Diceros bicornis minor: one gene and its partners. The protein of the gene in region 1 binds, or shares a complex with, the protein of each later gene. Links are inferred from orthologs where the notes say so. Each region holds a gene or a part of one and is shown in the gene's direction. Other genes may lie near its edges.

Region 1 (11,260 bases):
CATGCCCTCTACACTAAACAATATGGAAACTATTTTAGGGAGTATTTTTTTGTTTGTATATGACTGAGGAAACAAGGAATCTCCCAGGGAAGGTGACTACTCTGTGAAAGAGAACTGTTGGAGTGAAGGGGAAGGCAGGGAGAATGAGATGGGGTGTTACAGCCTTGGTGTGTTATCAAAGCAAAATTATCTACTTACGACATCACCAATGTAGATGAAATCTAGTTAATTACCACTAATTAATCTACTTAATTTGTAATTTTTGAATGAAAATCTTAAATTAGTGACTAATAAATAGTAAGTTTGCTTTATTAAGAAGGACTTTGTGGTGGTGTTTTTTGCCTATGTGAATATCCCTGGAGGTAATAGTTCCTGTTGCTAGAATGTTTCTGAGTGCACACGAATAAAGAAAATCTTTGGCCTGGAGAGACACTGGACTCGTGTGTTACAGCCAAGGACAAAATCTGAGAGCGGACTCAGCTACCTGTTAATATCATTCTAATTCCCTCAACTCACTTATAACATCTCCTTTAATGACTTTGCTGCTTATGGTCTAATGGCTACATGATAGAATTGTGGTGTTCTCAATTTACAAGGCTTGGGGGAATTCTAGCTGTCAGAAAAATGACAAAGAAAAAAATTTCTGGTAAACTTGTGGGCCTCAGACATTGGAGTCTGGCCCAGTTCTAATAAACTCTATCAATGTGGGATTAGAACAATGATTCTCAGATTTTGGTGTGCCTAAGAAATACCCAGGGAGCTTGCTAAAATGTCAATTTCCAGACCCACTTGCAGAATTCTGATTTTGTTCACATGGATTGGGGCTCAGGTGTCAGTGTTTTTAGTGCAGCCCTCAGAGGATCCTAATAAAGTTGTCTAGGAACAAGAGGCTGAGAACATTCATCTCGAATGAAGCATGTTTGGTGATACTTGGGGTTGTTGGGGGGGATTTGTTCCTGCTGCAGCTAGTCTAGAAGACCAACAAAGGAGAATGTAGTTCTGCATATTAAGCAGGTAGGGCTGCCTTGAGATCTGAACCAGAATCTAAGCCCTGGACTAACGGTGGAGTCATAGGTAGTTCTAAGAACTACTAAACTTCTTGGACAAATCTCAGCCAGTAGGGAGTTCTTGAGCCCTCCCTCCTTGACTTGCATTTATGCCTTAACACACTGAATAAGAACTTGACTAGTCAAGGGCCAGCCCCGTGGCATAGTGGTTAAGTGTGCATGCTCTGCTGCTGGCAGCCTGGGTTCGGATCCCGGGCACGCACCGATGCACCGCTTGTCACGCCATGCTGTGGCGGCATCCCACATAAAGTGGAGGAAGATCGGCATGGATGTTAGCTCAGGGCCAGTCTTCCTCAACAAAAAAAGAGGAGGATTGGCATGGATGTTAGCTCAGGGCTGATCTTCCTCACAAAAAAAGAAAAAAAAAAGAACTTGACTAGTCAATCATCTGGGAGAATAAAGAATTTTGGAGTTACATTTTTGGGCACTGACCTCTGCATCTGTGATGGTTAATTTTATGTGTCAACTTGACTGGGCCTCAAGTTGCCCAAATAATATTTGGTCAAACATTGTTCTCAGTGTGTGTCTGTGAGGGTGTTTCTGGATGAATTAACATTTGAGTCAGTAGACTGTGTAAAGCAGATTGCTCTTCCCAGTGTGGGTGGGCCTCATGCAATCTGTTGAGGGCTTAAATAGAAAAAAAAAAAAGGTTCAGTAAGGGAGAATTTGCTCTCTCCACCTAACTGTCTCCAAGCTGGGACATCAATCTTCTCCTGCCTCCAGACTAGGACTCAGGCTGGAATTTACACCATCAGTTCTCTTGCTTCTCAGGCCTTTGGACTTAGACTGGAAGTACGCCATAAGCTCTCCTGGGTCTCCAGCTTGACAGTTGCATATCTTAGAGCTTCTCAGCCCCATAATTGTATGAGCCAATTCCTTATAATAAATCTCTCTCTCTCTCTCTCTCTATATGTGTGTGTGTGTGTGTGTGTGTGTGTACAGAACTCTGACTAATACAGATTTTGGTACCTAGAGTTGTTCTAGGGGAACAGAATGTTAAAGATGAGTTTTCTGGCCGGCCCCATGGCTTAGCGGTTAAGCGCGCGCGCTCCGCTGCTGGCGGCCCGGGGTTCAGATCCCAGGCGCACACCAATGCACCGCTTCTCCTGCCATGCTGAGGCCGCGTCCCACATACAGCAACTAGAAGGATGTGCAGCTATGACATGCAACTATCTACTGGGGCTTTGGGGGAAAAAAAAATAAATAAATAAAACTATAAAGATGAGTTTTCTAAATTGGTTCTGGTGTTTCTGAAATTAGCTCTCTAATCTGATTCAATTTAAAGGTGATAATGACTCTATTTCCAGTAGTAAAGAGAGCACTGATAGTCCCTGATGTGATTGGGCAATAGAAACACATAAAATATCTGCATTGCATACACCTAATCAACCACTTATAAGAAGCAAGGGGGCCGGCCCAGTGGTGCAAGCGGTTGAGCGTGCGCACTTCGCTGCGGCAGTCTGGGGTTTGTGCGCACTGACACACTGCTTGTCAAGCCATGCTGTGGCAGCGTCCCATATAAAGTGGAGGAAGATGGGCATGGATGCTAGCTCAGGGCCAGTCTTCCTCAGCAAAAAAAAAAAAAAAGAAAGAAAAGAGGAGCATTGGCAGACGTTAGCACAGGGCTGATCTCCTCACACACACAAAATAATAATAATAATAATAATAATAATAATAATAATAATAAAAAAGAAGCAAGGATCTAGGTGACTGTGTGTATGATACTTTTGAACATTTTTGGAAAGCTAACAAATATTTGAACTCCCAGCCTCATAGGTTGTCTGCTGTTAAGGAGAGAACACTGATTGGGAAAGAATGGGATTCTATAAGTTGGAATGGGGACAAGTGGGAAGACTCGGATAAAGCTGGGGACGCTGAGACCCTAAATTCTGATGAATCTTCTTTGCCAGTGGAAGTGGCCTCCCCACCCCCAGTAGAAGCAAGCAGCCATCCCACCTCCAGTGGTACTGACTCTTCCCCCCTAAATCCGCCCCCACCATTAACCCTACACTGTCTGAGGACACTGTAATGGCTTCCTTTAAGGCAGTTGCCTTGCAAGACAATGCTAATTCTCCTCAAGACCCACCACTTGTGGCCGGCCCGGTGGCGCAGGGGTTAACTGTGTGCGTTGTGCTGCAGTGGCTGGGGGTTTGCTGGTTCCAATCCCGGCAAGCACTGACGCACCACTTGTCAAGTCATGCTGTGGTGGCGTCCCATATAAAGTAGAGGAAGATGCTCACAGATGTTAGCCTAGGGCCAGTCTTCCTCAGCGAAAAAGAGGAGGATTGGCAACAGATGTTAGCTCAGGGCTGATCTTCCTCACACACACCACCTCTTTTTGCTTCTAGACCTATAACTAGACTCAATTTCCAGCAGGCCCCAAGGGTGAGGTACAAAGTGTGACCCATGAGGAGATGTGCTATACTCCAAAAGAACTACTTAAGTTTTATAATTTATACAAACAGAAATCACAAATTTATGAGAATGGATATTAAGGTTGTGGGATCATGGTGGAAGGAACATACAGTCGGATCAGGCCAAAATTATTGATGTCTGGCATATAATAGGCCCTTAGGAGGGTGAAGAATCTGCCTGCAATGTGTTACCCTGTTGGTCTCCAGAGCATATCTGTGAATCTGCCAGAGCCCATGTCTTCCTTTTCTCTCCAGCTCCATAAACATCCCTCCTCAATCTGGAAGAGGATTTGAAAAGGACCAATAAGGGAAGTTTGTTCTTTGTTTAACAGTGTATGAGGAAAAGGTGCTCAATCAAGAGTTTTTCTTTTTTTTTCCTTCTTCCCTATATAATTTTTAAATCTTCACTCTTTCCTCTCTTCTCTAGCCATTGCTTCTTCTTTAGCCATTTGTTTTCCCCCAATCCCTGTAAACACACACACACACACACACACACACACACACCCACCTGCATTTTAAGGCTTCCCATGACCCACAGATAGAGGCCAAGGTCTTAATCCTTTAAAGTCCATTACAATGGTGCTCCAGGCTATGTTAATTCACTTCTCCCATGGTCTTGTATTTCAATTGATTCTTTCTATCTGATCAAAGCTTCAAGTAGCTCTTTTGTCCCTTCTATGTTTTAAGGCCCTCTCCCACACTGCGACACAAGAATGCAACCTTCCTTTTCAACATGTGCCTGGTCTCTCATTTGTCCTATCAGTTTTCCTAGCGATCACAGAAACCTCACGGCTTTTCCCGACCCTGTGCTGCACAGACACGGAATTTCTTCAATTATATACATGGCTTTGATGTGTGATTCAATACATTACTCGTCATTCTTACAATATCTTACTGTTTCTCTTCAGCGAGTGTTCCTTCAGCCAAAGCCTATTGAAATCTGACAGTGTGTCAAATACTGTGCTAGATGTTGTGGATATGAAGTGAATAAAACACTATTTCCACCTACAGGAGCTCATAGGCTAGAAAGCAAAGGCAGCATGTAAACATGTATATTATAGTGCAGCGTGCTAAGTATCACACACTGTGATGTGAAGAAAAATGAACTTCCTCTGTGGGAGTTGATAAAACTTCTCATAGGAAGTGACATTTCCATTAGTCTTGAAACCTAAGTAGGAGTTTGCCAATCAGTGGACAGGGGAGAGAGTGAGGGTAAGAGAAGAATAGGGCATCTGAGTAAAGGAAATTGAGGCTCAGGGCAGAGGTTCTGAAATAACTGAGGAAGATTCTGATGTGTTCATGATACTGACCCTCTTAATCTCAAATTTGTGTGCCGGATGTGCAATAAGCCAATCACTGAGACATCGTGCTTGGAGATGGAAAAAGATTTATTCAAAGTGGCCAAAATGAGAAGGTGGGAGGATAGGTTCTCTCAAATCCACCAAAGCCCCAATAGATAGTTGTATGTTACACTTGCACATCCTGCTAGTTGCTGTATGTGGGACACGGCCTCAGCATGGCCAAACAAGTGGTGTGTTCTGCGTCGCCGGGATCTGAAGCCAGGCCACCAGTAGCAGATGTGCACACTTAACCGCTAAGCCACCGGGCCAGCGCTCAAATCCACTTTAACAAGAGAAGAAAGCAGGGGGTTTTATAGAGCTAAGGGGCTTGGCAGGGGGAGTTTTGGAGAAACAAAGGGTAATCCCTGTTTCTTTCACACCTAATAAAGCCCCTGGGCAATCTGACTCCTGAGCGTCCACAGGAGCTGGGGGCTGGTTATCTGTTGATCCTTGAAAGCATTCTTTTTCTTCTGCAAAACAAGCTCATAAATCCTTGTGACCCCTGAATAACCCCTCAGGTAAAACAAGAAAACAGCAAATTGACAAGATTAAGTTCTTTTCATCTATGTCTGTGTTGGGAACAAGGTCAAAAGGTAATCTTATTGAACATTTACAGTAACCCTCAGGTACCCGGCTTCCTTCAGAGTGTTCTGATGGGTTCCGCGTTGTTGGATGTGTGCAGCATTGAGTGGCAGGGATCAAATTGAGAGGGCCTGGGTAGAGAGAATTGAATTTTATTCTAGAACTAAGAAGAGAGAGAGGAAACTATTTAAGCAGCGGAGTCTGACAGTCAGCTTTGTCTCTTATATGTCCATTGTCACTGCCCTAATAATATGGACTCCTGGTTTTGGAGTCTGAAAGGGGGTGTGGTCTGCTTGCTTAATCAGAGGTGTTCAGAGTAGCCTCTCAGTTGAGACATTGCTTTTTTTTCAGGTCTAGAAAGAGCTTGTTTTCCATATACCCAGGGCTATTCAGTCTAATCCCAGCCCTCACTTCTGCTAATTCACTTCCTCTATTTATTACTCTGACATTGTCCTCCTAATGCTGTTTCCTCTCCTTGGCCAGAGTTGGACTTATACTGACAGCCTTTGTCTCTTTGAATCCCATTTTTCTGTTTTGATACTTTTTTTCTTCAGTTAAGTCGACCTAGTCTTTAAACGTATTGGTGACGTTTTGGCCCATGCCACCCTATGTTTTAATCACTGAGACACAGCCTGCGCTAGTAGCCACGCCTACTGGAGAAGTTGCCAAACCAGGAAGTTTGTCCGCACTAGCGCGCCGTACTGACAGTGGCAGTGCGCAGGCGCAGTTCCCGGCTCCCAGCGGCGTGTTCCTTGTTCCCCAGGTTCCCAGCGTCCTGGCAGGTGGACGCCGAGTCTTCCAAGTCTGCCTCCGGCCGCGGCTTGTCTTGTGCTCCAGTCCCTAACTCCGCAGCCCCTCAGCTCCCTGGGCAGCTGCTGTGGCCCGGACGCCTCCACCGGCGACAGACCCATGGCCGAGCGCGGGGAACTCGACCTGACCGGCGCCAAACAGAACACCGGAGTGTGGCTGGTCAAGGTAATGTTCGCGCGGGTTCCGCTTGCACTCCTCCTAGTATAAATAGTTTAAGTGACTTGAGACCGTCCCATTCCGTGCGCCTTTTAAAGCTCTTTACTGCCATCTCGTTAGAGCTTCACATAACTTGAGAGGCAGAACTTACTGTTATGTTCGTTAGAAGACGAGAAAATTAGTTTAGGACACATAGTGTCTTTACTCAGTTAAGAGTCCGGACTTGCCTGGAATGGATCTCTTTTCCCCACGACCTGATTTTGCTGGGCCCCTGTCTTGGTGTCCCCCGACTTGAGCGGTGCATTTTACCCCACACTGAAGAATTTCTGCATCTTGTCTTGGTGAAACTGATTTTAGTCGTGAGTCTGTAGGAGGAAGTTGAGGGTCTGCTTTCTGTACAGTTTTCTCGGTCAGAAAGTAGAACTGGTTCCTGCGTACCCTTAAAGTGTTTCCTTTGGTTGATGGCCCTTAATGGAGTTCTCAGGAGAGCGAGATAGCTCTGAACTCGCGGAAGGAGAGGCCATTGGACTGGAGTGTTCTTTTAGGGCACGACTGGGTCTCGTGACACTGGCCGTCAATAAAAGTTTTTTTGTAAAAACAGCAATCTTGATTAGTCCTTAGCACAGTATTTGTGCTTTACTTTTTCATATTGGGGAGTGTTATCTCTTAGGGGAGTTTCATAAGACATATGTATGTTCAAAATGTGATTATGACAGTCTTTGAACCTCAAGCAGAATGTAGGGACCTTTGGTTTGTTAATTTTTTTAAAAACTTTTACCACACGGCTGAGTTTTCATCAATTAAATCTGAGAGGCCTTTCCTATCCACCTCTATAAATAGCTCCCTTATAATCATTCACTAGCATGTCAAACCTGTATTATATTCTTCAAAGCGCTTATCATACAGTGATTCTATGTTCATGTGTTCGGTGTTGGTTACTTCCTTCTCCCCAGCGCTTGCGCGTGCGCACACACGCACCCACCCACCCACAGTCACCTTCCATGAGAATAGGATCCTTGCCTGTCACACCCAGAATTGTGTCTGGCACATGGTAATTGCTCAACAGATATGTGATGAATGAATGAATACTCTCTTATTCTTCATCCCTAACCTTAGTCTCGGGCACTCATTTGACTTATCCCAGCTATATGAATATGACTTAAAAGGATGGAGTAAATGAGCCTTTCTCTCTCCTACTGCATGCTAAATGGAGGAGAATCGTTAAGGAGATCTCCCTTGCAGACTGAAAGAGCGAGCTTGAAAAAATGGTGGAATTTGAGACGATGCATTTGTGCTTGGAGCATTGTAGATGCTCAATAAACGTTTGCCTTACAGGTTTTGGATGGGTAGACAGAGGCATAGCATAGTGTACCATAGAGAGTGGAACAGAAATGCAAGACTGAAAATGCACATTAACATGGTATGTCCTGGAAAACAGATTATTATGCTTAGAGCAGAGGGTCTGTGTGAAAAAGGTTGGGACCATATACTCATTGTCATATCGTGAAATGAGGATGTCTTAACCTTAGTCTGCAGGAAGTAAGGAACCTTTTGGAGGATTTTGAGTAAGGCAGGGGTGCAAATGATTTTTTCAGGGAAAAAAAAAAAAACTTGAGGGGAAGATAACCAGAGTCAAAATTAGAAAATTATCACAGGATCATGGGTGTATGGTAATGAAGTCTGAGGAGGGAAACTTTTTCAGTGAAAGTTGTCAGGATTTGTTGACTAAATGAGAATGTGAAAGAATGTAATGAATCTAAAATGAAGAAGTTAAAAAATTTTAGGGCTCTCATATATGGCCATTTGAATACATTTTCTCTCTTTAAAAAGAACTCAAGGGGCCGGCCCCGTGGCTTAGCGGTTAAGTGCGAGCACTCCGCTGCTGGTGGCCCGGGTTCGGATCCCTGGTGCGCACCGAGGCACCGCTTCTCCGGCCATGCTGAGGCCGTGTCCCACATACAGCAACTAGAAGGATGTGCAGCTATGACATACAACTATCTACTGGGGCTTTGGGGAGAAAATAAATAAATAAAATCTTTAAAAAGAACTCAAGTGAAGCCAATGATTTGTTCTCGTTTTCTAAAGGTAGTTGTAATGTTTTGATTATTTATTGTTTGCATTGTCATTGTTTCCTCATATCAACTTGGCATACAGTGTTTCTTCTTTGTCTAATGTTATGTATCAAAGAAAATAACAGGCTTGCCAATACATCTCTCTGGGGTGCAAAAAGACTTTCTTGCCAGTTCTTGTCATCTGACAAGGACGAGGATTGCTAACAAATACTTTCTGTTCTAAAATCCATTCATGTTCCTCCTTTATTTGACAACTTTTATTTCTGCTCTAGTTAAAGGAGTCCCAGGGGCCAGCCTGGTGGCTCAGTGGTTAAGTGCGTGTGCTCAGCTTTGGGGGCCCGGGGTTCGCAGGTTCCGCTCCTGGGCGCGCACTGACGCACCGCTTATCAAGCTGTGCTGTTGCTGCGTCCCATATAAAGTAGAGGAAGAGGGGCACGGATGTTAGCCCAGGGCCAATCTTCCTCAGCAAAAAGAGGAAGATTGGCATCGGATGTTAGCTCAGGGCTGATCTTCCTCACACACACACAAAATAAATAAATAAAATGGAGTTTGATTTGCACATTTGTCAGATAGTTTGAACTTGTTTCATTTGCGCTAGGGTTAGCATCCAATGTGATTTTCATGCCCATATCTTGAGCATACTTGGATTTTCATCTCTGAATTGCAGGAATAAATTATATGAGTGAATCAAATCTTAATGGTCAGGCTCATTTTCAGCTTTTTTTGTGTGATATTAAAATATAACATGTTGCTTAGAAAGTGTCTTCATTCTTATCCAATCAGAGTTTGTGAATAGAACTACATACCAGTTTCGAGTCTTTTCTCTATACATTAATATTTCTCATTACAAATAATACCTTGAGTTCTGATCTTTGAGGATTGTCGCAAAATATATGAGTTTCTTGCTAGAGTATTTCAAAGTTTATGGGCCATCTTGTGCATATTTTATTAATTCCATCACTAAACAGGTATAGAACAGAATAAATACAGTAAGAGCTATACATATAAGATCTCTGAGAGTTTTGGACAGGAAAAAAATTGGCTAGCTGCAACAGGAAAGACTTCATGGGGAAGGTGACATTTAAGAAGAGCCTATAGAGTTGATTAGTTAGAAAAAACTTCCCAGCAGGGCCGGGGAGAACTAGAGTGTGTTCAGGTTTGGAATGTCTTAAATCTACAACAGAATGATGATCCGAACAAGTTTTGATAGGTAATAGACGTGATTGGATTTGACTTTACGATAGATGTCATCTGCCAAAACATACAGTCACAATTTTAACCTTGTTAGGGAGCTCGTCCCTTGTAGTTTGCATTACCCTATTCCTATTGGTCACTTGGTGCCAGTGTTAGGTTGCCAATTGGTCACACTGCTACTACACAGCCTATACTAAATCATGATTTAAAAATTGGTGATGTTTAAAAATATTTTAGCATAGTTCTGTTGTTTGGCTTCCAATATTTAGACTTCTGGTAAAATGATTGTCTCTAGTTAAGGTTGGCGGAGGTACATGATGGGGAAGAGGAAGAGATAAAGCTGCCAAGGTTGTTAGGAGCCGTGGGATTTTTGTAAATCGTGAGTATCATCCTGGGGCCTGAATTATAAGAAATGTTATTTCTTTTCTGGGAATGGACAGGTGGAGGTACTGACAAGAGCTGTGGTAGGTCTAACCAACAGCTTTCTAGCCAGCAAAAAGATGTGTTTCTAGTCCGCTCAACCCTCTTGTAAGCATGCTGACTAATGTTTGTGAGAGGAGAGGATCAGGAAAGGAGGGATGGACATCATCCCCTCTGAATGCTGTGTCTTTTATTCAACTCAAATGCCAACAGGCTCAGCTTTTTTTTTCACAGACAGGTAAGCAGTTGGACATTGACAGTCAAAGAGAAAGCTATAGAGAAAGCTATATACCAGGGAGAGATGAAACTAGAGTGGGTGATATCTCAAAGCCTTGCAGATAGTAGGGGAAAAAGGAACTTACATTTCTTATGTATGCAGTATTGTACAAATTAGTACCTACTTCATAGGTACTAATTATCTTTATTTTTCAGATGATAAAATTGAGGCTTAGCGGGGCTAATTATCTTGCCCAAGCGTGGAACAGTGATTCCAATTTAGGTCTGTTTGGCTACAGAGCTTATGCCAGGAATAGAAAATGTCTTTTTTCCTCTTAAGTCTTTTTAATGAGTTATCTCCCTCGAGAACAGAGACGAGGTGGGGATTTCATTTCTCCGTCCTTGGATCTTGTCAACTCCATATGTTGACCTTCAAGAGAATATGATAGAAAAAGCTGCCTGTCATAGATTGGGTTCCCTGGGAGCTGATTCTGAAATGGAGATTAGCATGCAGGGGTTTATTAGGGAGTGCTCTTGGGATCACCACCTGTGGAAGGAAAAGGACTTAAGCAGGATGGGGCAGAGGGTATGATGCAATCTCAGTGGAAGCTAAGGACGATTCCACAGGGAGCCCTCCGGAGCTATCCTGAGTTGGGGCAAGGTATACCCTGTGTCTACCAATCATTGCATGTGGTTTGCCCCAGAAGAGTGCGTGATCTTGGCCAAAGGGCCTCTCTTGGAGGCAATGCCAACGAGAACTTAACAGCTGAAGGCTATTAGCCACAATCCTGGCAGCTGAGGGAATAAGGCCTTCAGTCTTAAATGGGGATATGGGTGTCACATCACAGTGTCTACTACAGTGCCCTTAATTTGCTTGTATTCTGGGAGCTTGGAGACTGGTAGTTGGGGAACTGGATATTTAACGAACCAAAGTTGGCAGAGAAGTTTAGGGGAGTAATATCTGTACATATCACCTTAGCACCTTGACT
Region 2 (10,334 bases), on another chromosome or scaffold:
GGACACAGCGAGAAGGCAGCCATCTGCAAACTGGGAAGCAGTCTCTCACCAGACACTGGATCTACACCTTGATCTTGGACTTTACAGCCCCCAGAACTGTGAGAAATAAGTGTTTGTTTTTTAAGCCACTCAGTCTTTGGTAATTTGTTATAGCAGTCTGAACGGACTAAGACAATCTGCTCCATTTTAGATGAGGAAACTCAGGTTTAGAGAGATTAAATACTGGCTCGGGGTCATACAACTAGTAAATGGCGGAGCAGAGATTCAGGCCAGTGCTGTCTGGTTCCGAGGCCAGTATTATAACCCCTGAAGATTGAAAGTTACTAAGTGGAAGCAATAGCAAATGTTTGCTTTTTGGAGAAAGTTTGAGATAGAGAGGATGGTAGGGTAGCAGAACATGCCACCACGAAATACGCCACCTCGGCATAAGGGTTATTTTGAACTGAAGGCAACTGAGAAGAAGCAGATACAAGAAAAGCTTTCCATCCTCCCCGTTTGCCTGAAAGTAGGACATAAATTTGTAAAGGTGTCTGCCCTCTTCTCTTTACCAGGAAGGATAAAAGTTAATCACTGGAGACAACTTGAGACCCTTATCAGCCCGAAGATGGTACCAGAGGAATCTACATGACAAACTTTACTACCCAGCCCTTATCTTCCATTAGTTTCTTCATATAGTTGCCTTTGCACAATTTACCATCCTAGAAACTCAAAGTCCTTTTCACTCAAAGTCTTGTCACTTCTCTATAAATTTATCGTTCTTTTGTCAATATGTTATATAAGCCCAAGTTCTCATCAGCCCTTTGAGTTACTCATCACTAGATACTCCGGTGTGTGTGTGTGTGTGTGTGTGTGTGTGTGATGCATATGTTAATAAACTTCTGCTTGTTTTTCTCTTGATAATCTGTCTTTTGCTAGTTTAATTATAGGGCCCCAGCCTGAGAACCTAAAACGAGTAGAGGCAAAAAATATTTTTTTCCTCCCTTACGGGATGAATGCTTGAGAAGGAAGCAGGGTCCTGGGAAGATATTTTCAGGATTAGGCAGGCTGAGTCAGAAGGCAGGGGAAAAGTCTCTAAGGGAGCAGAGACTGTTAATGCTAGAGAAATCCAGGACAGATGATGAACAAAGTACTTACTTTAGTTCTTGATTTGTGCGGATGTGAGCTAATTTGCCTCGTCAGCTATTTTGAGATTTAGGTACCTATTTAGTTAGTTGAGATGGATTAACAGGTAAGGCGAGTTGAAAGGCACTTACTATTTGATGGCAGAATGAAGTAAATTTTTTTATCTTACCTCAATTTTCCTCTTTAAAACTACTACATAATGTAAAAAATTAAAATGTAAAATTAAGCCACTACGTAAAAAAGAAGGAAGTTCTGATACATGCTTCAACATGGATGAACTTTGAAAACATCATGTCAAGTGAAATAAGCCTGACACAAAAAGACAAATATTGTATTATTCTACTTATATAAAATATCTAGAATTAAGGCAAATTCCTAGAGATAGAAAGAAGATTAGAAGTTACCAGGGGCTGGGGGGAGGAGGTGGGAATGCAGAGTTGTTGCTTAATTGGTGCAGAGTTTCTGTTTTGGGTGATGAAAATTTTGGAAATAGATAGTGATGATTGTACAACATTGTGAATGTAATTAATGCCACTGAGTAGTACACTTTAAAATGGTTGAAATGGCAAATTTTATGTTATATATATTTTACCACAATTAAAACAGTAAAAAAAATTAATCCACTAAATTGGAATTAATCCTGTGGTTACATTGAGTTGTTTTTTTTGAGGTGGGAGGGTTTGGATAGGTCAGGACAGAAGAATATTTTATAATATATACAAATTATATTTCCCTGAAGAAGCCACATTACTTTCTACCAAAGAGTATGCAGGATATTATAAGCATTCATGCGACAAGACAGATTGCTATTGCATTAGTAGCTTGAATCATTCTTTATATAATTTCATGCTAGCCACACCCTTCTGACCTAGAAATACTGAGGCTGCAAATATGTAGGTGGTTTTAATTATTATAAAGGTTTATTTAAGCATCAATGGTGGAGACTTTGTGTATATTACACAAATAGCCATGTCCCTCACCTCCGAGTGGGATATTTTTCCTATGCTTTCCCTAAGCCCTAGCTAGAGGCTGCCTCAGACGCAATCCAGATGATGTCTTTTTTTTTTTTTGTGAGGAAGATTGGCCCTGAGCTAACATCTGCCAATTCTCCTCTTTTTGCTGAGGAAGACTGGCCCTGGGCTAACATCCGTGCCCATCTTCCTCCACTTTACATGGGACGCCGCCACAGCATGGCTTGTCAAGCGGTGCGTCTGTGCGCACCTGGGATCCGAACCGGTGAACCCCAGGCCATCCCAGTGGAGCGCGCACACTTAACCGCTTGCGCCACGGGCCGACCCCCAGATGATGTCTTTATTGTGTAACAAGGATGAGAAGGCAGAATAAAAATCCATATGTTTAACCCCAATCTTGAATTCTCTGAAATCAAGCTAATTTGGGCTGACATTTGGAAATGGTCAAGTTGGTCATTGTCGTAGTCAACATTGTCAGCAGACAAAGAGAATCCTTTTTTAGTTCATTAGTGTGGTGTCCATGTGTAAGTACCTCTGACACAAAAATGGCCTGATTATGGCGATATACGGAGCCCACTTTTGTCTTCAGTTGAGGAGTACCTTCAGAGTACAGGCTATCACCCAAAAGTGTTTTGAATGAATGCAGTCATTGCTTTTAGTGTTAGGACTTAGTCACAGGCCATAGGCACTGTGAACAGGAGTGATTTCAGTGGTTGACAACATTCAACGTCTATATACTTTAATGGTTTGCTAGCACGTGTATGGGAGGGTTTCAAGTTTGGCAATGATAGTAATAACAGCTAAGATTTGGGTAAAGGATGGGCAACTGAGATGGGGGTTTGGATTATGAATAACATATTCTAATATTGGCATTAGAAGGCTTAGCTGTGTTCAATATCTGTCCCAACTGGCTGAAATGAGACAAGCCATTGAAATAAAAGAATAATTATGAGCATTCTTTAAAAGTAAACAATGAATCCATTAGACTGAGATGGCTCTAGTGCCTTGGTAGCCTACATAAACAAACTGAAACCTATGCCAGAGTCAATAGACCAGAAGCGAAGGAAACGAAACTTAAGAACAACTAATTACAAACAGCCAACTAGGCTTTCCCAAATAAGGCCATGACTTAAGCTACAGCCAATCAAAGACTTTCTTTGATTTGCTTCGGAGTCTTCTCTATAAAAACCTCTCCCCTAGCTCCTGTCAGTGGAGAGCTCCTAAACATTTTTGGTTTTGGGCTTCCCCAATTTGAACTGATGTTTTCTCAAATAAGATATTCAAAATTTTAATGTACCTCTGTTTTTTTAACAGTTCATTAAGTGCTTTCCATGTGGTAGATCTAGTTCTGCAAAAGCCTGATTCTCTAATTGTGAAACTCATAATTCTCAAGTGACTAGGAAATGAGCATGTGTTAAAGTTTTATTTAACACAAATGGAAATAAATGAAGACCACTCAAATGAGAATAGAGACTACAGAGCTTGCTATAGCAAGGGAGTCAGCCACCATTACTTGTGTTTGGCAGAAACTCAAACTCAATCAGGGAACTGGGAAGTTTTATAGACTAAAAAAAAAGGATGCTTCTGGTACGTTCTGATTAAAGGTTGTTGGCAGAGGAAGCTGGAGGTGGAGTAACTAGAAGTGGGGCATCTGTGTGATTGGTTTGGGGAGTGTATTTGTTTTTCTCTGGTGATCTTGTGGGGGGGGTGTATGTGTTGGGGGGTGGGGGCTAAAATAGGGAAGTTGGCAGCCTTTGAGCAAATCCTGACCATTCTGAGCTGATTGCTGCAGAGGTTGTGTCTTGGTTTCTTATGTGGGTCAGAGTTTTATCATCACATATAATCTAGCCATTGTCTATTTGTATATTAAGTCTCTCACTCATTAATAAGGGAGCCAGCAGAATGATAGAACTAATTCCATGAGGATATGAGAAACTGGAGTTTATATAATCATTGAGGAAAGGAACTATGAAATAAAAATTAATGAATTGATACAACACTGACTCATTTCTCAGGACAACGCAATTTTAACCTTTGGGATTATTTTTTGTACTGGATACCTGCTCCTGCTCCTTCTCCTCATTACACCTCATCAGTTTTTTTTTTTTACCAGTTAATCTCTGATTATAGTGGGCTGTAAAACATTTGGGCCTTAATAAACTGTTATTCAAAAGAAGTTAAATTTCCTAACGGTGTCAGATGATTATCAAGTGGGTTTATTACAAAATCCTAGAATGAAACTAACTTTAAAAAGCCACACAATCAATCATCTTTTGGCTTTATTTCCAAGTTTTGAATAAAAATTCATCTATTATCTCATTTAATCTTCACAACAGTCCAATTCAAGTAACCCACTGTGATAGTACAATTATTCCAACTTCCCAGATGAGAAAACCAAGACACAGGTTAAGTAACTTGAGGAGTAATCAGCACTAATTAATTAAACGACAGCTACAGAATAGTTGAGCATTGGCTATGCTGCTGTTTTAAGTTATAAAAGTGAGGAAAGGTCAGCCGTGGGAAATCTGACGCACTCCAATTCACTGCAGGCTGTGGCAAGGCCAATTATCTTTTTCGTCACTTTATTTCTACCCCTTTACGTTGCTTCTGAACCCGAAATGCTTTTTCTAAGAGAGTTCACAGATGTGTGGTTGGGAGTTCAGAAACGGCTTCACGTCAGGATTTGTCTTCGCTAGCTACGCTGTCACGAGCAAGTCATTTAGCTTCACGGGGCCTCCTGCTTTCTCACTTGTAAAAGAGCGCTGGAACAACGTGCTTTGAAATTTAGGTGCTGGTGAGTGGCATTTGATGTCACAAAACACCTGGTAGACAATAACTTGAAAAATCGCGTCGCTACTTGGGTAAACAGATTCCAGAGCACGCTGGAGGAGGATCTAGTAGGTCTAAATTTCTGTAAAAGAAAGATTTCTTCCATCTTAGCGGCCGCTCCTCGCCTCCTACCTCTGCCCGGCTCTCCGCCCCGCCCCCAGCCACCTTCGCGTTGTCAAGGAGACCCGGGACGCCCCAGCTGGCTGAGCCCTCTCCCGCGGTATCCCTAGCGGGGCACGTGATGACGCACGCGCGCTCTCGGCGGCGGAGGCGTCGCGGTGGCTGCCGGGACTGAGCTCCTAGCAGCTTGCTCAGGAAGTGGCGGGCGGAGCCCCGGGCCGAGTCGCCGCCTCAGCCACCGCCGCCGCCGCTGCCAGTGCCGAGACCCCGAGCTGGCGGGGCAGCGCTGGGCGTGCGTGCGGGCAGGCGGGGGCGCTGACGAGGAGCAGGAAGCGGTGGCCAAGCCGGCGTGGGCGGCTGGTCCGGGCGGAGGCGCGGGGAGGCGGCGGCGGGGCGCGTGGGGCGGCCCTTCTGGCTCAGGTAGGGGCTGTGGCGGCCGGGTGAGGGGCGCGGAGCCCCGGCCTGTTGTTCCTCGGGACGCCGACCCCCGCGGGGCGAGCGTCTCTCCCACCCCTCGGGAGGCTGGGGCCGCCGTGCCCTACGCGAAACACCTACACACGGCAACAACTTCTTGGGAGCATTGTCTTTTAGGCTGGAGATTCATGGAGCAAACTTTTGGGTTGGAAAGAGGGAAATCGACAGTCCGATAGCTGACTGTGCCTCTTCCTGGCCCTCAGTTTACATTAGCAGGAGCCGAGCGAACCCTGTGTGTGGAGTGTGGGGAACCACGGTGTCCCACCAACTCAAGGCTGTGATTTAGATGCTCCTTCACGGACTATATTTTTAAAGCTGCCTTGTAATGATTCCTAAACTTTGGTTATAATAGTTGTTTTCTGCGGTCTAAAGACGTGTTCTAAAACAAAAAGGTTGCGTCTACCGCTACATTTCTGTCATTTCGGAGGTGAGCAGTCTCTTTTCTCATCTGGCCAGCTGCTCATAGCAGGGGTCTTAGGTGCCACGGGCCCCTCTGGGAAAGAAGCAAAAGAGAGGAAAAGTAGGAAGGTTGAAAGAACTCGAATGATGTAGTGGAAAGAACGTGGGCTTCGGAGCCAGAAGATTCTGATGTAAGTTTTGGCTTCTCCATGTGCATCCGTGGAGGAACACGTGCACTCATTGAGTTGTGGCGGTGGTATTTTTTTAATGTAAATTGGCAGAGTGGTGTGGCCTGTTTACTACACAAGTCAGTGCATGTAAAGCACTACGAATACTGAGTAGTCTTCTGAGAAAAAAGGAGGAAAAGTTAGGCGGAGCATGCGGTGGTGACAGACAGACATGAAGCCTTCTGCGATGGGTGCCATTCAACGGTACCTGTCCTGCACAGGTCGCCTTTGTTGGAGAGGCCTTTCCCTTTACCAGCATTTCAGGTCTGGAGTATGGAGCACTTGAGTTACGAGTCAGGATATTCGGGTCTTGGTCCAGGTACTTCCAGCTCTGTGACCTTAACTTTACCTCTTCACTTCAGATTTCACATATTAAAATAGGAATAAAACTAGTACCTATTATCTCGTAGAGTTGTGAGGATCAAATGCTGTAAGGATTTAGATCTTTGTGAACCATAAGCCTCTTATTTAAATGTGTTAAAATCGTGATTAAAAGCCTGGATCGATTACCTGTCTTTACAAGGTGAAATAAACAGATACAGATGTTTCCTGTTTTAGGCTTGTTGCCCCCACCTCATCACTTGTGAATTCTCTTATTCTCACACTTTCCCTCCCCCATCTCTTACTGTCGGCACCCCAGTATAATATCATTCTGTTATTTTTCAGATGCAATTCAAAATAGTAATATTGAAATAACATGTATTTGTATAGCTTTACTATTTAAAAAGTTGCTTTCACAAACATTTTCTCGTTTTAGTCTTACAGTTGGGCTAAATGTAGACAGCATTGGTAGTATCCTCACTTTACTTATAAAAAAAATTGGATTTAGAGAGGTCTAGTGGATTGCCTTTGGTCAGTTGCTGTTGGGGTTAGAACTGAGGGGAGAAGGCAGGTCTTTCATTCGAGGTCCAGTGCCAGTGACTCTTCCTTACTTAACTGAAGTTTACTCTGATTATTTCTTACCAGTGCTTATGTTTTTAACTTTTGGCACTCTAAGTCACATTTTATTTATCCATGCTTTTTAAGCGAGGTGCTCAATGTGTTCGTGTTCTCAAATGTAAGCTGCTTGAAGACAAGGGTTTATTTTCCAGAACCTTTCAAAGCTTGGAGTACAGTGCCTCACAAACAGAAGACATTTTGTAAAGGCTTGTGAAACCAATAACAATGAGGCCAGAGCAATTTAAAGATGTTTTTGTGTTCATTGTTCATTTAACAAATATTGAACTACCCTGTGCTGGAAGGCTTTCAAAGTATTAGTCTTTTTCCTCTAGGACCTTCCTTCCCAATTTATGAACACTAGTTTTAACAGTGCAAATGTAATTTAAATAGTCAGCTTGTACACTTCCTGGACTCTCCACAGGGTTCTAGAGAGAGTTCAGACAAGAGAGGAACATTAAAAAATTTTTGTTAAATTACCTGTGGCTTCCCTGGTTGTGCTGAAGTTGCTTAGAATTGGAGTTTTAGAACTGGGAAAAAAACTCGAAGAGGTCTAGCTCCACCTCTCTCCAAATCGGGAATTTTCTGTAGATATTTCTAACAAATATTAGTCCAGCCTCTTCATCACTTAACAATAGAGAGTTCACTAGTTTTAAAATACACCTTGTCATTTATAAGCAATTATGATGGTACTCTCTTTTTTTTTTTTTTTTTTGCAATGAGTATAAATCTGCCTCCTAATTTCTGCCTGGTAGTCCTGATGTTATTTCTAGAGCAGCGTTGTCCAATAGAAACATAACGCGAGCTGCAAGTGTGAGCCACACACGTAATTTAAAATTTTCTAGTAGCCGTATATCTTTTAAAAGTATAAGAAAATTAGGGGAAATTAATGTTTTATTTAACCCGGTATATTCAGAATATTATCATGTCAGCATGTAATCAGTCTAAAATATCTCATTAGTAATTTTAAAAGTTCTTTTTTTTGTACTAAGTCTTTTAAATCTGATGTATTTTACACTTAGAGTACATCTCAAATCCAGCCCCATTTCAGGTGCTTAATAGGCACATGTGGCCATTGACTGCCATGTTGGGCAGTGCAGTTCTCGAGCTTTAGAGAATAATTCTGTTTCTCTTTACTAGTGCCTAGTAAAGTGCTTGGCACATAATAGGCTCTAATTAAAGATTTTTTGAGTGAATGAGTAAGTGAATAAATACAAGTGCTGTATAACTAGTAATAACAGATAATTTTGTTTGGGAAGCAACTCTTGTTGAGACCTATGGATTTGGCATATAGGTTTGAGTGACTGGAATCTGTATGAAAGATAATTATTTTTATCTTCGCAGCATTATGGATCCAAGCCTGTTGAGAGAGCGGGAGCTGTTCAAAAAACGGGCTCTTTCCACTCCTGTAGTAGAAAAACGTTCAGTATCTTCTGAATCATCATCATCATCATCAAAGAAGAAGAAAGCAAAGCTAGAACATGGAGGGTCATCAGGTTCTAAACAAAATTCTGGTTAGTAAAATTGACCATTTAGGACTGTTTAGTTTTTATTTTTCACTAAACCATTTAGTCGTGGCAAGTTCGTTTTTCAGTTCAACATTCACATTGATTGATAGGCATTTTGTTAAGTATAAGGGATGAAATGATAAGGCAAGTTTTTGCTCTTAAGATGTTAATAGTCTTGTGTAGTAGTTAGAATTTAGGTTATCTTTAAAAAAAAATAACTTCATTGAGGTTTAATTTATGTACCATACAGTTAACTTGTTTTAAGTGTACAACTCAAAGATTTTTAGTAAATTTACAGAGTTGTACAACTGTTACTATAATCCAATTTTAGAACATTTCCATCAGCCCCAGGAGATCCCTTGTGTCCATTTTCAGTCACTCCTTGTTCCCACCCCTGCCCCAGATAACCAGTAATCTACTTTCTTTTCTGCTATATTGTTGCCTTTTCTGGCCGTTTCATATAAAGGGAATTGTACACTATGTGGTCTTTAGTCTGTGACTTCTGTTACTTAGCATCTATTGAGATGACCATGTTATTCTTGTTTTTTATTCTGTTAACATGGTATATTACATTAATTGATTTTCATATGTTAAACCAACCTTGCATCCTTGGAATAAATCCTCCTTAGTTATGGTGTATAATTGTTATACAAATGGGATTCAGTTTGCTGATATTTTGTCCAGGATTCATCCATGTTGTAGCATATATCAGTACTTAATTCCATTTTATTGCTGAAGAGTATTCTATTGTACGGATATACCACAATTTGTTTATCGATTCACCAGTTAAGGGACATTTGGATTATTTCCACTTTTTGGCTATTACGAGTAGTGCTCCTATGAACATTCATGTACAAGTCACGTGTGAATATGTTTTTTTCTCTCTTGGATGGAGACCTAAGAGTGAAATTTCTGGGTCATATGGTAAATTTATGTTTAAATTTATGGCTGTACCAGTTTACATTCTCACTATCAATGCATGATAGTTCCATTTTTTCTCTTTCTTGCCAGGACTTCTTATTCCTTGTCTTTTTGATCGTAACCATTCTAGTGGACGTGAAGTGGTATCATTGTGGTTTTAGTATGCAGTTCCCTAATGACTAATGATGTTGAACATTATTTCATGTGCTTATTGACCATTCATGTGTCTTCTTTGGAAAATGTCTATTCACATTTTTTGCCCATTTAAAAAAATTGGATTGTCTTCTTCCTATTGATTTGTAAGAGTTCTTTACATATTCTGGATACAAGTTCTTGATCCAATATCATTTGTGTTCTTGGTGTCATATCTAAGAAATCTTTGCCTAACCCGAGGTCATGAAAATTTACTCCTATTTCTTTGAAGAGTTTTATAGTTTTAGCTCTTACATTTAGGTCTATGATATGTTTGAGTTGATTTTTTGTGTATGGTTTAACATAAGGGTCTAAATTCATCTTTTTGCCTGTGGTTATTCATTTGTTCTTGTGCCATTTCTTGAAAAGACTGTCTTTTCCCCATTGACTTGCTTTGGCACCCTTGGCGAATATCAGTTGACTATAAGTGAAAGAATATATTTCTAGAATCTCAGTTTGGTTCGATTGACTGATATGTCTGTCCATAATTATGCCAGTACCTTACTCTCTTGATTGCTGTAGCGCTGTAGTTAAGTTTTGAAATTGGGAAGTGAATTGGGAAGTCTTTCAGTTTTATTCTTGTCTTTCAAGAGTGTTTTGGTTTTTCCTGAATCCTTTGCATTTCCATATAAATT
Region 3 (10,767 bases), on another chromosome or scaffold:
GGAGAGGAACTTGCTGAGCAGGGCGGCACACAAACTTGCAATATGCACAAAAGGGCCCTGTGGGGTGGGGGCAGGCGGTGAGTGGGGAAGGGTGCCTCCTGACCTTGGCCTGGCTTCTTCCTCCACTGGAAGGGACTCCTTCATTCCCCAACAGGCAGTTACCTCTTTGCCGAGGGGCATCCCACTTCCCAGGGCACAGGTCAGCCCGATGACCTTAGCTACAAAGGTCTTGAGAGTGAGGTATTCTTTCAGCACCACTCCCCGCAAGATGGTCTTCATCTCGGGGATGCCGGACCCTGGAGAGGGCACAGTCCCAGGAGAGTCATCCAATGTGCCTGTTTCAGGAGGTCCCACCTTTGCCCTCCCCTGCTCTCCTATTGTACCGACAGCCTGAGGAGCCAGGATCTGTGTGAAGCCGGCTGAGAAAGTGATGAGGACGATGGGGTAAGTGACCCAGGCCAGGTACTGGAGCAAGAGGTTGGTGTTCAAGCCCCGGGACATCCACTGCTGAGCTGTGGGGAGGAGACGTGCTGCTGGCCCCCGATGCGCACACCCAGTCCCCGCCTGGCCACTGGGACATACCAATATAACAAGCTGCCCCAGGGAATATCGCAGAGAGCCCGAGGACAAGGGGTAGGGAGGGGGCCCTGGAGGGCATTCACTGGGACAAAGATCACCATAGGTAACAGAGTCAGATGGAGAGCGGGGGCAAGAAGTTGTAGCCTAGGTGAGTGGCAGTGAGCATGACTGAAGATGGGGCAGTCAGGCCGGGGAAAGTGGTCAGTGGCCAAGTAGCCAAGAAACTTGGACAAGTGTGGCATGGAGGAAGCAGGTTGGCTCTTCCCAGCCCGCCCCCTGCCAGCCCTTGTCCTTACCCTGCAGACAGGCAGCGATGGCATAGTCCATGGCCCAGCTGACCAGCGCCATGAGGAGCCCCAGCAGGACCAGGAAGATCCAGTCTTCACCAACCCTGGACACTAGGAACTTATGGCAGTGTACAGAACAGACTGGAAGCAGGGAATGGAAGAAGGGGGAGGCTGGCACAAAAGTGCTTTTACCCTATCCCCCCTCCACCCCCCAAAGGGCAGCTCTAATGGCCTCTGTCCCCCTCAGCACGGTACAGCCAGGTCCCCCGCCCCAACCCAGATCTCACTGTGGCATCGGGTGCAGCGGCTCTGTCTGTATTCCAGGAGCTCCGGGGGAGTCCGAGGGGAAGGCGGACCCCTCCAGGGCTCCGGCCCTCCCAGGCGGATCCGAGCAGCTTCCTCTTTGGCAAAGGCCCCCAGCTCCTGAGTATAGCGGCCATACATCTGAGCAATAGGGAAGGTGGGGGTTAGCAGATGTGGGCTGAGTGGTAATGCAGGGAGGGCCCCTGGGGCCTCAACTCCCTTTCTCCCAGTCCCCACATTATATACCCCTCCTGAACCCACAGTTCCCACTTTGGCTTGGGGTGTGGGAACAATGCACATTGCAGACTGTGGGGGCTGTCCTGGCTGGAGTGATGGGGACAGCCAAGGTACAGGGACACAGCTCTGGGGGTGGCAGAATAATCAGTCCTCTTCTCATAGGCCTGGGGGGGAGCACTGAGGAGGAGTGGGAGGCAAGGCCCTAGAGGAGGAAAAGATGGAAAAACCTAAGGCAGTCTGAGAGTGGGAGGAGGGAAGGTCAGAGAAGAAGGGATGGTCAAGGGCGTATGGGTAACAATAAGGGCCTCATGGAGCTGGGGGCAGCTGAGTTGGGCCTAGGAGCAGGCGGGGCCCCAATCCTTATCACGTTCCTGCTGGGCCTCTGGCCTGTGACCGACTCAGCTGCACCCATCCCGCCCAACCTAATCCCCTTGTCCCCATTCTCCACCCCCACCCCCCACCAGCCTGCCAGCCCAGCTGGGAGTGGAAAGTCTCTCTGAGTAGGTGGAGAGAGCTCAGTGGCCTTGACCCCACTCTGGAGCTGCCCTGAGTCCAGTGGTGGGTTGGGGGACAGCAGAAGCTGATGGTTGGGCTGTGACTGTGGATGCTGGGGTGATGGGATTAGACCTGCCAAGCTGGGCGTGTGTTGGGGGGTGGGGAGGAGTAGATTCCGGCTGCCACCCGCAGAGCTTCGGGACACAAAGGGCTCCTGTTGGGGCTGGGGTTGTGGGGGGGGAGGGAAAGATAGAGACAGAGAGAGAGTGATAGAGAGCGAGGAAGGGAGGAAAGAGAACATAGGAGAAAGAGGGGGAAAGGAGAGGCCAAGGGAAGGGGCAGAGGAGAGAGAGAAGGAGAGGGGAAGAAGGGAGGAGGAAAAGAGGAGAGAGTAGAGTATAAAGAGGTAGACACACTGTAGGAGGTGGGAGGTGAGTGTGTGAGAGAAAGACAAAGGGATGGGAAGGAGCAGGGGGAGAGGCTGGAGCAGAGAGTGCCTAGGAGAGAGCTTGACCCTGAGAACTCAGTTCAGACATACAGACCAGGCGAAGGAGATGGAGATGTGGCTGCGCAACAGATGGATACCATTTCAGTGGCCAGGTGCCTGGCTTCCTTGACCAATGCCCCATTCTCAGCCTGGGCAGACTGACAGACACCTCCCACCCCTTGCGAACGCTTGCCCCTCTACCCTTGCTCCACCTCCACCTCTGCCACCTCTTCCTGTCATCCTGTTTCATCCAGTCACTCTCTGGTAACTGGGCACCTGCCAGCCTCAGTTAAAGCCCAGGCCCCATCCTCCTGGAGAGGTTTCCTCCCTGCCTTCTTCCTGGGCAAATTCCAACCCAAGCTGGTAAAAAAGAAGCCACAGGGCCCACTCCTTTCCCTAGAGATTGGGTCTCCCACCCCAGCGACATAGGAAGGTGCAAAAGTCTTCTCAAACACTAAGTTACAGCGATGGCCATGAGTCAGCTCAGAGCCCCAGGACCCCTGCTTCTAATAAGGTCAAGGGACACCCCTGGGATAGGTGGGGGCTGGATACCCAGTCAGCATGGACAAAGGTCCCAATTCCCACACCCATTCCTGCTTGACCCATCCTCCCTAAAGCTCTCTTCCTCCACGGGGCAAGCCACCTTTTTTCCAGAGAAAAAAGGGGTTCCTGTCAATGCTGGGTTGCCAGCCCCCAGGGGTAAGGGCTGGGGCCAGGTTAGGGTCTGATGATCTTTCTACACACTCATTTCTGTGTCTAGCACCGTGCCATGCACATAGTGGGGACAGAGGGAATGGAGAAAGGAGTGTAGAGAGAGAATGTTCAAGGGTGTGAGCGGCGCTGGGGAGGGGTACTGGGGTGCTGAGACTTGGGCCCAGGTAGTGAGGGGAAGGAGCAAAGAAAACGTGGGCGGGGGGTAAAGAGAAGGACACCTGGGACAAGCCCCTGATATCCTTGTCCCCTGCAGGCCCCCAGCCTCAGCCAGAAACCTGAATGCAGCTTTCCACTCCTTAGCCCTCCAGCCTCTCTGGCCCTCGAGCTTCAGTTTCTCCAGCTCAGAAGGCTGGGGTGAGGTTAGGGTAGGACCGCAGTCCTCGCGCTTCCAAGGGTAACCAGGAGCAGCGGTTCCGGAGCGCACTCCTCAGGGCTCGGCTCGGCTTCACTTACCAGGGTCTGCTGGTAGTGCAGCGCCCGCGGCTCCATCCCTTCCGCCGCCGCTGCCGCCGCCGGCGCCGCCATCTCCGCGCACAGCCCTCTGGCCTCCCGCGGCGGCTCGGGCTCCGGCCCGGACTCGGCTCCCGGCCCGCAGAGCCCGCGCCGGTACCCGTCCCGTCCCCGCAGCCCGGGAGGCCGAGCGCAGAGCGCCGCGGGCCCCAGGCGGGCGCTGCTGGCGCAGCCACCCGCTCGCGTCCCGTCCCAGGCGGGCGGGCCGAGGGCGGTGCCCTCCGTGCTGCTCCGCCCGCCGGCCCATTCACAGGGGCCGGCCCAGCCGGGCCGGGGTCTGCGATAGGGCCGCCTCCCAGGCACCGGAGAGGCGGCAGGGGGCGCTTGGAACGGGCGAGTCCTGGGGCCCTCTCCGCGGAGGCCGGGGGCTGAGAGGGGCGCCCGGGACCGGAGCGGGGGCGGGCCGGCTGGCACGTGGAGGGGCCGGGCGGGGTCTGCGGCTCCCGGCGCCCGGGCGGGAGGGGCTGGAGACGCCGGGGCTCAGGAGGGTCTGCGGCCAGGGTCTGCAGAGCCGTCTAAATCAGACTCTTCGGGCCCAATCTCTCTCTCAGGAGTGGCGCCCTCTCTAGCTTCTCTGGAGGGGCCAGCGGCTCAGAGGGGCCTGGCAAGACCCCTCTGCTCCCATGGGGGTGAGAAGCAAAGCTGGGGGTACTCGGAGGGGGACGCCAGGCCCAGAAAGGGGGGCGATGCTCAGAACTGAGACCCTCGGTCTCTCTCATCCGCTCCCTTCCTCCTTCCCTTCTTCTCTGTTCTTCCAGGGAGGTGCACCTGGAGCAATCTCGCCTGCCGGCTGTGCGGGGGTGGAGGTGGGGAGGGAACGCGAAGGGGTGAGGCCCGAGGGAAGGGAGGTCTAGGTGCGAGGAGGCCGCTCCTGGGAGGCGGGCGTGGGGGGACAGAGGTCGCTTTTCCCTGGCAGGGACCAAGGAGAAACCCGAGTAGCTGCTGACGTCTCGCCACCATGGGGGAAAGGCCTGCTGGGGCTCTGCGTTCTCTATCAGGGTCCGGAGAAGGACAGAGCAGAGAGCAGAGTGAGCACAGAGTGGGCAGTGCCCAGGAAGGGGGCAGTGTGAGAGGAGCCAGCACCCAAGGGGAAGGGGCAATGTAAGGGAAGAGCTGGTATCCGTGGGAGAGGACAGTGCCAGGATGAAAGGGCACGTAGGAGATCAGTGTCCACAGGGACAGTGCAGTGGTGGCGGAATGGGCAGCACCAAGATGAAGGGGCAGTGCTCAGGAGGAGGGCAGTGTGATGTGGCTAACGCCAGGCTAAAAGGGCGGCGTGGGGGAAGGAAGCAGTGGCGGGGAGTGTGCAGTACCAGGGGAGGGGACAGTGCAGGCTTTTCTCTTCGCCATAGTGACATCATGGCAAATTCCCAAACTGGGTGGACCTGGCTCGGGTGACATCCAGCAGAGCCGAGCTGGGCCGGGCCGGCCTGGCGGGGCCTCGGTGCCAGCTGGAGGAGCTGGGTACAGCCCCCTGCCGGGCCCGCGCTCTGGAGGCGTGGTTCTGCTCCGCCTGCCCTCGGCGCGGACTGTGCCCTCGGCAGGCGGGCGGACCGGCAGGGTAGGGCTAGGGCCAGGCTTCTCTGGGCCAAGGATCAAGGTCCCTGGCTGGGGTAGGCCCGCACGCATTCCAGTCTTCCGGGGCACTCCGAAGAGGGCGCAGTAGAGCCTCAGCAGCCAGCGAGAACCGGCGCCACCTCGGCGGAAGGTGGGACCCGTTGTGTCCCCGCCCTGGGGCGGAGTTATCTGGACCTGGGACCCGACCTCAACGCCGAAGCCTCTCGGAAGCAATCGTTCGGGGAGGACGTTAAGAAGCCCCGAGAGCAAGGCGGCGGAAGTGGCTTCATCCCCGTACGTCCGTGCGCATGCGTTATTCTTTTCCTTTGCCGCCGCTCTGTGGGCGCTACCTTTTCCGTCTCCGCTTGTATTCTCCACGCGAGGGGGTGTGTGTACACCTAGTCGTGGTCGCGCCCTCAGCCTCTCTCCTATTCTTGTGGCTCGCTCACCATGGCGGGCATCCTGTTTGAGGATATTTTTGATGTGAAAGATATTGACCCGGAGGGCAAGAAGTTTGACCGAGGTAAGCAAGGTTTGTAGGGGCAGTTTGGGGTAAGGGGCCAATCTCCTCCTCGGGGACACGCCCCTGGGCCCCTTGTCCACCCAGCTCACGTGGCCTGCTCCTACCGGCAGGTCCTGATGTAGGGACCTCCCTGAGGAAACATTTTATGGACGAGAAAACGGAGACTCCTAGCTCTCCCTGGCTTCACACACGCTGTGCCGGGTGCCTGGGGGGCCCTTTCTCACGGTGCTAGTAAACTCGGGGCATCTTTCTAATCACTCCCCACTCTGTACTAGGCGCTGTACTGTGCACCTTACACACTCTTTTGTCTTACTTATGCCTTTCAAGAGTCTCCATGAGGTAGACGGTGTCTTACCCATTTTGCTCAGAGAGGTTAAGTAACCCACCCAAGGCTGCACAGCGAGTAATGCGACTTCAGAGCCTGTATTCTTGTATTGCCCTTAGAATCTTTAGCTCTTTGTGAACTCCTCTGTGAGTTAGAGTTGACTGCTTGATATGCACCTCTTTATTCTGTCATTGATCAATAATTGTTTCTCCTTGGCGTCTCTTCCTTTGCCTGGAGACTGAGATGTTTTTCAAGAAAAACACTAGTTCTTACATGTGTCGATAATCCCCTCAGCACGGCGCCTGGCACAGAAAGATGAAACCTCTGGATGAATGAATAACTTGCCCTAAGTCAGGTTGTTTCTTAATCACTTAGGTAGGCCTAGAACCTGGATATTACTTGTTGCCAGAGGACCTTTGATTCTTTTCCAAGGATTCTGTCCACCTGCCATGGTTTTTCTCCCCTTTCCTTCTTGCATATCTGGTTCTGATTGAGCCTGCGCTCTTATGAGAGCAGACGAGAGGCCAGTGGATGCAGACTGGGTTCGACTGAGTGTTTTATTGCATACAGTCCCCCAAAGTGGGATCTGCAGGATCTGCCTCGGGCCAGGCAGTTACCTCTGTCACTCTTTCTCTACTTCCCTCCAGTGTCTCGACTGCATTGTGAGAGTGAATCTTTCAAGATGGACCTCATCTTAGATGTGAACATTCAGATTTACCCTGTAGACTTGGGTAAGTGTTGAACACAGACAGTAGCAGGAGGCTTTTTGCCATTTTGGCTGTTCTTCACCCTCAGATATTGCTGTTATTCTCAGGTGACAAGTTCCGGTTGGTCATAGCCAGTACCTTGTATGAAGATGGCACCCTGGATGATGGTGAATACAATCCCACCGATGACAGGCCTTCCAGGTGAGGGAGTGGAGAAAGGAGTACCTGAAATATGCCTGAGGACTGGGGCCGGCCCGGTGGCATAGCAGTTAAGTTCCCGTGCTCCGCTGCGGCGGCCCGGGGTTCGCAGGTTCGGATCCCAGGCGCGGACAGACGTACTGCTGTCAGGCTGTGCTGTGGCGGCGTCCCATATGAAGTAGAGGAAGATGGGCACGGATGTGAGCCCAGGGCCAGTCTTCCTCAGCAAAAAGAGGAGGATTAGCAACAGATGTTAGCTCAGAGTTAAACTTCCTCACAAAAAAAAAAAAGAAATATGCCTGAGAACTAAGTAGATAAGGCCTGTATAGAAAGACCCGTATTTAATTCATGGACTAAATGATTATCAGCAGAATCTGAGTAACCCTAAGGAAATTGGTGCACTGAAGAATTCAGACAACCAGGTGTTTATCCAGAGCAGTGATTACATGCTTGTGAGTTGTAGCTTTTTGGTGGCTGAGGAAATGACCACTGAGTGACCTGGGCTGTGTGGGCCTTGAATCTTGGGAGGGAATTTGGTGTGACGGAAAGGCTTTTGGAGCCCCACTGAGTTCAGATCTCAGCCCTACCACTTATTTACTGAATAACCTCCATGTCTTTCAGCCTCAGTTTCCTCATCAGTAAAATACAGATGGTCATACCTAGCTCACGGGGTTGCTGTGAGGACTAAATGAGCTCGTGTTTGGAAGGTGCCTGCTGTTACAATGCTGGCACTTAGTTCAGTTACCATTTTTAAAGGGCCTTTTATTATTAACTACTTTTTTTTTAGGTGAGGAAGATTGGCCCTTAGCTAACACCTGTGCCCATCCTCTATTTTGTGTGTGGGACACCGCCACAGCAGGGCTTGATGAGTGGTGTTGGTTTGAGCCAGGGATCTGAACCTGTGATCCCCTGGCCGCCAAAGCGGAGCGCGCCGAACTTAACCACTGCACCACTGGGCTGGCCCCCGTTGTTAACTACTTTTAAGAATAACTTTGCCACTGTTGTTCCGCAGGGCTGACCAATTTGAGTATGTAATGTATGGGAAAGTGTACAGAATTGAGGGAGATGAAACTTCTACTGAAGCGGCAACACGTCTGTAAGTTCCGTGGTCTCGTGAAAACCCTTCCCTCCGCCCTGTTCTGAGAATTTGGGCTATGCTCTGAAAATTCAGGCCATGCTCATGCTTCCTGTGTTGGGTCCCTCTCCCCAAGCACCTCAGACCTAGGCGAGACCCAGAAAGAAACTGTTCTGGGAGCAGTTTCCAGTCTGAAATGTAGGCTGCTCACTTAGCCCTTTGTTAGGACCCCAGGGCCCGGTGGTCCATATGGAAACTGGTCATCTGGCTGTGTGAAGTGCAAGGGAAGATTGCTTCCCCAGGAACAAAATGCAGCATTAAGTGATTAAACTGCCAGTCTTTTTTGTTTTTGTTTATTTGTGTGTGTTTTGCTACTCTGCAACCCGATCCCTCTTTCTTTGCTTTCCCTTCCCAGCTATTTTTTCTTTTCTTTAAAATCTTATTAAAACAATATGTGTACTTTGTAAGAAATCTGAAAAGCGGAGAAGTACTGTGAAGAAGGAAAAAAGGTCACCTATAATTCCATACCCAGAGGGAACCTTTTACGTAAACATTTTTGAATATTCTAGGTTTTTTTCCCTGTGTACTTTTTTCTTTGAGATCATATTGTTTATTACAGTGTTTTCTTCTGCTCTTTTTGCTTAAAGTTATGTAAAAATGTTTCCCCATGTCAGTTTAAGGCTTTCTCTAAACATTTTAATAGCTGCATAACATTCTAGTAAATGGATGTATCTTAATGGATTTGACCATTTCCCATATTCTGGGCATGTAGTATTTTCCACCTTTGCTAGTGTAGAGAACACTGCCTTGCACATACCTGTGCATTTATCTTTGTCTGAATTTTGGTTCCTAATGACAAAGGACTAGAAGGTGCCTCTTTTTCTTAGGCTGGGGTGGAGAGCTGCTGAGTAGCAGCTGCTCCAGAGCTCAGATTCATGGGATGGGTCTTCTGTTTCAGCTCTGCCTATGTGTCCTATGGGGGCCTGCTCATGAGGCTGCAGGGTGATGCCAACAACCTGCATGGATTTGAAGTGGATTCCAGAGTGTATCTGCTGATGAAAAAACTGGCCTTCTGAACCATCCCGGAAGCCAACCTTGCTGCTTAGTCTCTCAGGCCACAGACAGTCGTTCAAGCCTGAGTGGAGTTGCTGTTGTTCACCTGTTCGGGAGGTGCTGGCTTTCTGTCCACTGTGGCTGCATCTTTAGGTGGTCTGGACTCAATGGGAAACTGACTAACCTGTAAAAGACCCAGTGGGAGAGCTTAAAATGAATCAGAAGTTGTTTTGTGTATGTGATTTTTTTAAATTAAACTTTACTTTTTCAGACACCCTTGCCCTTTTTAAAAAAAATTTTTCCATTTACTTTAAAACCATTTTTCCTGTTCTCCTATGGTATATTATGTTTCTGGTCCACAGCCAGATGATGACATGTCAGTGTAGGATCTAGCCCAGCCTTTTGGTATTTGGGTTCAGGGTTATCTTAGTCTCCTGGCTGACTCTCCCCTACATTTACCTTCCAATGGGATTTTTCTGTCTGGGAGAGAGAGTGTTGTGTTTTTGGCTCCTGAGGGCACCCCAGGCCCGGAAGATACCACCCATTTGGCATAGAATTTTGAATTGGCAAGGAGCCCTGCTCGTGTCCTTCCAACACTTTCAGTCTCTTAGGAAGTCAGATCACATTGACTTGAATGAGTCACTTGCATAGCCTGGAAATGTTCATTTTTATGGAGGCATTGGGTGGAGGCTTTTAGACACAGGCATGGGACACAACTATGAAGAGAACAGGAAGAGTGGATTTGGTGTTTATGGAAGTAGGCAGAGGAGCTAGCTCTCTGCTCTACATTCTAATGGTGACCTGGAGAGGGGGTAAGCGGTGGTGGTTCTTACCAGTGACACTGAACAGGGAGCTGCTGTACAGACCAGTGAAGTGGACAGGGCAGCAATACCAATGAGGTTGGCAGTCCAGTGCCAGTGCCCAGGACAATACAGCAGCCTGACTGTGGTCACTAACTTAAAAATGAGGGAAGAACAAAGTTGAAATAGTAATGCTTACAAGGACTCCAGTATAGGAGCTGTGTCTTCAGCCTGGCATTTGAGGTTCCTGAGAAAGTATACAGGACTCTGATTTCCCCTAGGAAATTTGGAGTAACAATCCAAAAAGATTGTGTGTATTAAGCAGTTGTCTTTTTTGATCTCCCGGTTTTGCCATGGGAGCTCGTCCGCCTGCTGGGATGCCTGGGATATTTCCTTCCCCATCATTTTCAGGTCTTTACATGAGGTGTTAGAAATAGTGTTTAGGGAAATGGGTTGAAAATGAATGGCCTCTGCAGGGGGGAGGAAAAGGTGTTTCTTTTGCTTTACTGTGGGTGGATTGGGGGGAATAAGAGATGCAGTGGGGGTTGGGATGAAATTCTAACCTTTGGATGGATTAGGAAATCCTAACCTATGGAATCCTAAAACCTTTCTGTGGAGTCAAGTTTTTTTGCGGGGGGGTGGACAGTGGCGGACAGTGGGGTGCATTGGAGACAGATGGATTTAGGTTAGAGTGGGAGAACCTAATTACCAATAATAGTTTGTGGGGCAGCAGAGTGTCCTGGCTGCCCTGGGGTGGCAGAAGAAAGAAAACTGGCATACAGTTGACTAGAGATAAGAGTGTTCTGGTTGTGATGGTTTTTGTTTTTTGTGTAAAGGGAAGAAGGGACAGAATAAGCCAGACAGAATGATTTGGGAATGATTAGATCCTCAGTAGGGGCAGATTAGTCCACACTGGA

The links.
Region 2: GTF2F2 (region 1) and GTF2E2 share a complex: the UniProt entries of both Homo sapiens proteins name them as parts of the TBP-based Pol II pre-initiation complex. The link is inferred for Diceros bicornis minor from reciprocal best matches to the Homo sapiens genes GTF2F2 and GTF2E2.
Region 3: GTF2F2 (region 1) and POLR2H share a complex: the UniProt entries of both Homo sapiens proteins name them as parts of the TBP-based Pol II pre-initiation complex. The link is inferred for Diceros bicornis minor from reciprocal best matches to the Homo sapiens genes GTF2F2 and POLR2H.

Annotation. Positions count from the first base shown.
Region 1 is NC_080748.1:31,592,505-31,603,764, reverse strand, and holds the start of GTF2F2 (general transcription factor IIF subunit 2), read left to right. Parts: upstream 1-6,096; 5' UTR 6,097-6,312; coding exon 6,313-6,378; intron 6,379-11,260. UniProt on the Homo sapiens protein: TFIIF is a general transcription initiation factor that binds to RNA polymerase II and helps to recruit it to the initiation complex in collaboration with TFIIB.
Region 2 is NC_080768.1:28,323,866-28,334,199, reverse strand, and holds the start of GTF2E2 (transcription initiation factor IIE subunit beta), read left to right. Parts: upstream 1-5,290; 5' UTR 5,291-5,462; intron 5,463-8,422; 5' UTR 8,423-8,426; coding exon 8,427-8,592; intron 8,593-10,334. UniProt on the Homo sapiens protein: Recruits TFIIH to the initiation complex and stimulates the RNA polymerase II C-terminal domain kinase and DNA-dependent ATPase activities of TFIIH. Both TFIIH and TFIIE are required for promoter clearance by RNA polymerase.
Region 3 is NC_080754.1:39,333,036-39,343,802, reverse strand, and holds POLR2H (DNA-directed RNA polymerases I, II, and III subunit RPABC3), read left to right. Parts: upstream 1-5,497; 5' UTR 5,498-5,619; coding exon 5,620-5,692; intron 5,693-6,664; coding exon 6,665-6,748; intron 6,749-6,831; coding exon 6,832-6,925; intron 6,926-7,934; coding exon 7,935-8,018; intron 8,019-8,955; coding exon 8,956-9,073; 3' UTR 9,074-9,324; downstream 9,325-10,767. UniProt on the Homo sapiens protein: DNA-dependent RNA polymerase catalyzes the transcription of DNA into RNA using the four ribonucleoside triphosphates as substrates.